Macaca fascicularis: one gene and its partner. The protein of the gene in region 2 interacts with the protein of the main gene of each other region in a pairwise test. Links are inferred from orthologs where the notes say so. Each region holds a gene or a part of one and is shown on either strand. Other genes may lie near its edges.

Region 1 (3,648 bases), on a different chromosome or scaffold from region 2:
GGGTGGATCACTTGAGGTCAGGAGTTTGAGACCAGCCTGGCCAACATGATGAAACCCCATCTGCACTAAAAATACACAAATTAGGGCTGGGTGCGGTGGCTCACACCTGTAATCCCAGCACTTTGGGAGGCTGAGGTGGGTGGATCACCTGAGGTCAGGAGTTCGAGACCAGCCTGGCCAACATGGCAAAACCCTGTCTCTACTAAAATTACAAAAATTAGCTGGGTATGGTGGTGTGCGCCTGTAATCCCAGCTACCCAGGAGGCTGAGGCAGGAGAATTGGTGGAACCTGGGTGACAGAGACTGGTGTGAGCCGAGATTGCACCACTGCACTCCAGCCTAGGTGACAAAACAAGACTCCGTCTCAAAAAAAATAAACAAAATATTAGCCGGGCCTGGTGGCGCATGCCTATAATCCTAGCTACTCGGGAAGCTGAGAGGCAGGAGAATCACTTGAACCCAGGAGGCGGAGGCTGCAGTAAGCCAAGATCACGCCACTGCACTCCAGCCCGGACCACAAAGCAAGACTCCATCTCAAAAAAAAAAAAGTGGGGAAGGACCAAAAGCAGTTGGCCTTCAGTAACTGAAGCTGAAAGTTCTTACTTCTGTTACCTAAGACGTCACTATGTCCATTTCAATTCGGGGATTTCCCAATGCCCAGTCTAGCTATGCAAAAGAATGTGTCAGCAGCAGCAGCAGAGGCTACTTCAGTTCTTGAGGCTTGTTGTAGATAGCTGCCCACCTTTCACTTTCTGCAACCCCTGGCCTACTCTTCTCCTCCCTCCATGTGTGATGTTGGGAGCAGACCTTTCTGCAGACCATGAGGACCATTATGGGCAGACGGAAGACTCCCTGACAAGACTACTGATAGCTACAGCTCCTACAGACAGTCACAGAGGCCGAAACAGCACTGCAGCTGCCAGGAAGACATACGGATGTCATAGTCCAGAGGGACTGGACCACTGCTAAGTGAGCTTGTCTTTCCTCTCCATACTCGATAACTCTTACTACTCATAGCGTGGTTGGTGGACCAGCAGCAGCAGCATTGCAAGGAAGCACATTAGAACTTCAGGTTTTACCCGAGACCCGCTAAATCAGAATCTGCATTTTCTCATAATCTCTAGGTGAGATCGTATCAAAATCCTAGGTGATTTGTATGTACATTAAAGTTTGAGAAGCACCGCACTGACTAGTGCCAAAAAAGTCTGTCTATTTAAAATGGCTAAAATCAGAGCTGCTGAATGAAAAGAGGGGAAACAGTTTTGAGGATAAATTTAACTCCTAACCAACATACCACAGCCTGAGGACTTGGAAAGCCTGTACCCTGAGAGCACTACCATGAGACACACCTAAAGTGTATGACTGGTAAGCAAAGAGGCAGCAGGTGATGACTATACCTGTCTGTAGGTATCCTGGTGATGTTCCTCATTTCGAGAGTCATAATACTGTTCAATGAAGCCAAAATATTCCTCCCGCTTCCGCTGCAGGGTCAACTTTCTCCTCTCAGTGTTTGCTGGGAGATAGCCCTATAGACAAGACTGCTGGTCAGATAGGGAAAGACAATGGTTGGATAAATCCTTAATTTTTATTTTAATCTATGCAGTGGTTTGGAAACTATCAAGAAGGAAAACTGCCAAGGGTAAATCCCTTCTTGGTTCTGGCCACCCATTTTTTGCCCTCTTCTCATTGAATGAGATCCACATGTGAGCAGATGAAGCAAGGCCAGCTTTCCCAGGATTATTTACTCCCTTGGCCCTGTACTGTGCTGAAGCTTGAGCCACTGGTGAGCACTCCTCAGCTCCCAGAGCTGGCACAGTACAGGAGTGAATGTAGGTCAGTGGGAGGGAGCTGGACCCAAGTCATGGCCTTGGAGGGCTGCGTGTGTCCAGGGCCATACTTCTGAGAAATGCAGGGATATAGCAACCTCTACAGCACATCTCAGCAGTGTGCCAAGTAAGTTGGTGCCAGTTACATTCTTTTCCAGTGTAACTTTCAGAATTACCAGCTTAGGAAGCAGCTGAATGGAATCCGTGACATAACAGCTACAACACTCAGACAGAACTTCTGGCAGCAGCCCCCAGCCTAGCCAAAGCTCCAGGCCAACTTTCATTCTTATCCTTGGTCTAGATCCCACTTTCATTCTTATATTTTCTGTTCCCCTTCCGTTCTCACCAAATCTACTCTGAATAGCATTCAAACTGATTAGAAGTGGCAGAGGCAATGATTACATGGTTGCAAGAGTAGAGGTGGGGCGAGCAGTCAGGAGACAGACCCTTCTTCTTGAAAACATTTATGTAATGCATTCCACAGTGAGTGCCTGGAGAGCAGGGACTGTGGTTTATTCATTTTTGTATCTGCTCAGAGCATCTGGCACTATGCCTGGCAAACAGCAGACCCTCAATCAATCCTCACTAGATGAATGAATGAATTTTACAGGCTCAGGAAACCCAAGTGTTCCTATCGTAGCGGCTGGCACAGTGCTCTGTACTTGGTGAAAGCAGGACTAGTAAGGCTTCCAAGGGAGGCCCATTTATCAACTCTTTACAGATCAAAGTGGGTTTCAACTTTTGGTTACTCCAACTGAAACAGGAGTAAAGCACAGGGAATGTTTGAGCTTGCTCAAAGCAAGTGCTGGGGTCACCCTATCTCACTCACTCTATTCTTCTTCCTCGCTGTTAATAACGTGAGACCATGACTATTGGTACAAGTCTGTGTACCTCTACATGTGTGTGAATAAACTCTCAAGAAAGTGTTTCTTTATGCACAGAAATAGGACTACAGTCCCATAGTTCTGTCATATCCAGTAGGACTAGAGAAGTCTATGGAGTTAAGACCAATGTGTCCAGACTAACCTCATCAGGCAAGAAGGGCTGTGTGAGGCTCACACTTCTCTACACAGTAGGTAGAACTCACCGACAGGAGTCTCCAGGTTACAGGTCGAACCTCCCTGGGAACCCCTGGCCAGCTACACTTCCTCAGTTCATCTGTAAACAGAAAACAGCCTTGTTAGGTGAACTCTCCACAAATGCTCTAAAGCAAACCGCAACCAGCACTGCCTGATGTCTCCTTCCATTCATGTAAGACCACCACCACCACTTGCTACCCATAAGCACAGGGAAAAGCCCAAAACAGCCCTGAGCAGCCAAGTGCCAAGGACATGGCCTTGCAGTAGCAGTCCTGTCAGCTCAGAGATGAAAGTTAGAGGGGAAGAGAAAGACCAGTGGGTGTAGATTTCAGCAAGAGTCACCATGAGATAGAGGAGATCAAAGTCAGAATAGTTGCACTAGGGTCTACAGGTCACAGAAACCAGTCCCACCTAATTTGGTCCATAATCTCTAGTAACATATGTCTGACTTAATACCTGCATGTCACTGCAATGGGCACCAGGTCAGGAGAAGCTAGAAAAGTAAAAGAAGGAAGAATAAAGAGCAGTAGCTTCCAGGTCTCTGAGAATTCCAGTCACCAAAAGCTCCTACCTTGCCTGGGCTCACAGGGACTCACCTAAGTCAGTGTTGTGGCTGGAGAGAAGCTGACGGAATTTTTCTAGGCGGGTTTTCTCCCGGACAGTCATTGGGGGGGCCCCAGAGGCGTTCTGATCCGAGATCCGGGCAACGAGGGGGATGATGGGCCGGAGAGGGAGTGACTGCT
Region 2 (3,648 bases):
GTGGATGTAGACAATGTCACCCTTCTGCAGAGTCAGCTCCCTGCAGGCGAGGACCGCATGGTAAGCTGAGGCCCTCCCAAGCCTCCTTCCCCTCAGACCCTCCCCAGTACACCTTATTCCTCTCACCAATTAGGGATGCCCACTGCAGCCCAGTCCCCCTCCCCATCCCGCTCTGGGATGGCAGAGACTGCCTCGGGTGGAAGGGGAGGGGGAGGAGGGCACTTACTTGGGAGACTGCGCCTGGAAGTCAAACTTGAGCCTGGCGGCCTTCCTCTAGGCAGGGGAGAGGACAGAGTGGGCTACCTCAGTCGGGCGGGTGGCAGATCCAGGATGGTAGCCTTGGGACCACTCCAGGTCCCCCACACCCTGGTCCCCTCCTTACCTTCTTCTCTTCCCTCCTGGCTGGGCTGATCCCTCCGTCAGAGGCACTAGGGTCTGTGGAGAAGCACAACCTCAGTTTGGGGAGGCCAACCTGGCGGATGGGGTTGGAATGGGGTTGCACCCCCACCTAGGGCAGGCACTGGCAGAAGCAAGGGGCTCTGTGACCTGCCACCCCTGGGGCACCAGCATGCCTGGTGGGTGGGCATCTCCGTGAGAAACAGAGCACGGCTGGGTCCTTACCTCGGGTTGAGGAAGGGTAGACAAAGTCCCTCCGACCTAGAAAGGGGCTTCCTCCATCAGCCATTCTGCGGGGGCTCAGGGACCGGGCGGAACCCAGGTAAGGTGCATTCGGAGAGCTGAAGCTCCAGGCTGAGGCCGGGCTGCACGGGGCACAGAGACTGAGCCTCCAGCCTGGGGCTCCGCGTCCCACCTTGGTCACCCCTAGACCGCTCTGACCCCCATCGCCCCTATCCCTGCCGCCTCCTCCCAGGGCGTCTCCCGGGTCCTGGGCTCTCCACAGGATGTCCAACTTCCCGAGTCGCTGCGCCGGGAAGGGTGAGGCCCGGCAGGGCCCAGCGGGAGTGCCTGGGCCGTGGCGGGGCCGCCCCAACCGCGCCGCGTCCCCGGCGGCCGCGACCCTCGCCCTCCGCTCGGGGTTAGCTGCCCTCGGTGACGCGGGGACGGCATCCCGCAGAGAGTGGCGCTGCGGTCCCTCCCGGACACTGGGCTCTGCGGTTCCCTCCTCCCCTGACTAGGCCCCGCGATCGCCCCGTCCGCCCCGCCCGGCCGCGCCACGTTCCCTCCCGCCGGCCCGGGACAGCCCCCTTCCTCCTCCCGCGTCTCCCACTCACCCGGCCGGGGGCCGCTGCTCCGGGGCCCGCCGGGGCGCAGGCGAGCTCTGTGCGGGGAGACGGCGCAATCAGGGCCCGCGACCCCGGGACCCAGCGGCAGTCGAGGCCGCCGCCTCCGGAAAAGTTCGCGGCTCGGGAGGGGAGGAGAGCGGGCGGGACGCGGGGTCCTAGAGGCGCCCGCGCGGCCGATCCCGGAGCGGGGCGGGAACTAGGGGAAGGGGCGGGGGTCCCCGAGGCTGCGGCCCGGGGGCGGGACGGGGCGGGAGCCCGGGCGTCGGGCTGACGTGGAGTCCGCTTAGAAAGGCTCCTCGGGGTCACTTGCGAAAGTCGACGCCCTGTATTTTATTTATGGAGGAGCGAGCCCGCCAGCGCCCAGGAGGGCCCGAGGCCTGTGCGCGCCGCCGGAGGCCTGACCTCGTCTGCCCGTCCTTCGCCCAGCCCAGCCGCCAAGGCTCCCGGCCCGCCCCGACCGTGCGGTCAACGGCGTGCCCCGCGGGTGAACCCAAGGGGCTGGCACCTTGGGGGACGGCAGTCGGGTCTCAATTGCCCGTAGGTCCTTGTCCAGCTCGGCACTCAGCTTGGCCAACTCTCTCTCCAGCAGCACCTGGGGGCGGGGAGAGGCTGGGCAGTGAGGGGCAGCGCACGGTGGGGGTGGGGGCAGCGGTCAAAGGTCGGCTGTGAGAAGCCAGGCCGGCGCACTGGGCCGGCGTAAGGACAGGCCTCAGCGCACGGGCCGGGCTCCTGCCGGGAGGTGTGGCCCGGGGTGCCAAGAGGGCATCCCCGCCGCGGCCTCTCACCTGCCCTGCAAGCCCCCGGAGTGCCTTCGCGCTTCCTGATCCCGCCATTCCGCAGCTCTACCAGTTTCTGCCAAGTTATGTCACTCTTCCAGCACCAGTGGGGCTCCCCATTTCCTCTCCCATCTTCTCCCGCCCTCCAAGGCCTGGCTTCGCTGTGCCCATCCAGGTTCCCCCGCCACCCCAGGGACTGGCGCCCCCACCCTCACGCTGCTTCCTGCCAGCCTCTGCTATGGGTCTCCGCCGGATCAGGCCCTCAGAGCTTCTCAAGGGTCCAGCTCCACCTCCAAGAATACTTCCTGATAATCCCAGTGCACACTGACCACTCCCTTCTCTGCTCCTGCTTTGGCCAACACATTTATTTAACGCATGTTTACTGAGCGCCTCCTGTATGCCAGCCACTGTCCCGAGTGCTGGCGTTACAGAAATAAACCATGTGGGACTGGAGAGAGAGCTCTTAGTTGGTGGCCTATGCCCATGGTCACTGGGGCGGGGAAAACCCTAATCTCCCTGGTTTATCAGGCTGCTGTCCCCAGCACCCTGCAGCACTCACCTCAATGGGCTGGGAGGGCTTCTCACCAGGGTCGTCCACCAGCGGTTTCTTGGGCTGAAGGGTAGAAAGGGTGTGTCAGAGCAGGTGAGCTCACTTTCCAAAATGTATCAGCTGAGGGTGCGTGCACACCCCGAGAGCCAGCCAGCACTCACCCTCTGCCCAGTCTCTAGTTCCTGCAGAAACTGGTTCCACGACTCTTCTGTCCAGACATTGTCTCCTTTTTCTCGGCGTCTGGGCACCTGCGTGGAGGTGGGTGGGCGTCAGCTTGTGAAGAGGGCTACTGGGACACTGGCCAGGCTCAAAATGCAGGCTTGCAGGCCCCTGCCCTTCCCGTGGGCCCACGGTGTCCTCCAAGGAATGCCAGCTGAAAGGACATCGTGGCACAGGGGCTTGGCCATACAGCATACAGCCGGGGCTGACCAGGGAACACGCTGGGTGGGCTACCTGATTTGGGGGCTGCAGCACAGTGGAGAACGCTCCAGGTCTGTAGCTGAAGGTGCTTCTAGGTAACTCTTCAGAGTGGTCCCAGCTTCTTCTGAAGAAAGGGAAGGACATCTCTTCAGCTTCCTTTTAGGGAGACTGAGGCAGAAGCCAGCACACAGCCCTCTCGCCCTGCCCTTGTCCCTGCTGTGGGGTCTGCTCTGCCTCTGACTGCCCTGCCCTTACTCTGGAAGCAAGGCTAAACTGTGGAAGTGTGTGAGCTCCAAGCTTAAATTCTAGCTCCATTGTTTAGTGGATGTGTGACCTTTGAACAAGTTACTGATCCCTCAGAGCCTCAGGCTCAGAACCTGTAATATAGAAATGATTTGGTGACAGAACATGTGTGAGGTGCCCGGGAGAAGGCCTCACACATATATTTGCTCCAGGTGTGGCCCGACCCTCTCCTGCGGGCCATTTTGCTAAATCCTGCACGTGTGTTTGGTCTGGCCCCATGACTGTGGCTATGTGCATCTGTTCAGCTTTGAAGAAGCTGGTCTTTCTGGGTGCTGTGGCTGAGTGATCGTACACTCATGGGCAAGGAAAGCCAGAGGCAGCCCTGCCCTGCAGCTCTGGGCAAGTTATTTCTGCT

What was found. The genes of interacting proteins can lie anywhere in the genome.
Region 1: the proteins of SORBS3 (region 2) and TBC1D22B interact in binary tests that used the Homo sapiens proteins (3 or more experiments, as listed by UniProt). The link is inferred for Macaca fascicularis from reciprocal best matches to the Homo sapiens genes SORBS3 and TBC1D22B.

Annotation. Positions count from the first base shown.
Region 1 is NC_088378.1:134,372,183-134,375,830, forward strand, and holds part of TBC1D22B (TBC1 domain family member 22B), read right to left. Parts: coding exon 3,502-3,648; intron 2,985-3,501; coding exon 2,914-2,984; intron 1,527-2,913; coding exon 1,398-1,526; intron 1-1,397. UniProt on the Homo sapiens protein: May act as a GTPase-activating protein for Rab family protein(s).
Region 2 is NC_088382.1:25,656,324-25,659,971, reverse strand, and holds part of SORBS3 (vinexin), read right to left. Parts: exon of another isoform or gene 3,446-3,648; intron 3,115-3,445; coding exon 3,024-3,114; intron 2,819-3,023; coding exon 2,732-2,818; intron 2,634-2,731; coding exon 2,580-2,633; intron 2,295-2,579; exon of another isoform or gene 2,078-2,294; coding exon of another isoform or gene 2,030-2,077; intron 1,837-2,029; coding exon 1,750-1,836; intron 1,280-1,749; coding exon 1,233-1,279; intron 762-1,232; coding exon 622-761; intron 436-621; coding exon 383-435; intron 274-382; coding exon 227-273; intron 61-226; exon of another isoform or gene 41-60; coding exon 1-40. UniProt on the Homo sapiens protein: Vinexin alpha isoform promotes up-regulation of actin stress fiber formation. Vinexin beta isoform plays a role in cell spreading and enhances the activation of JNK/SAPK in response to EGF stimulation by using its third SH3 domain.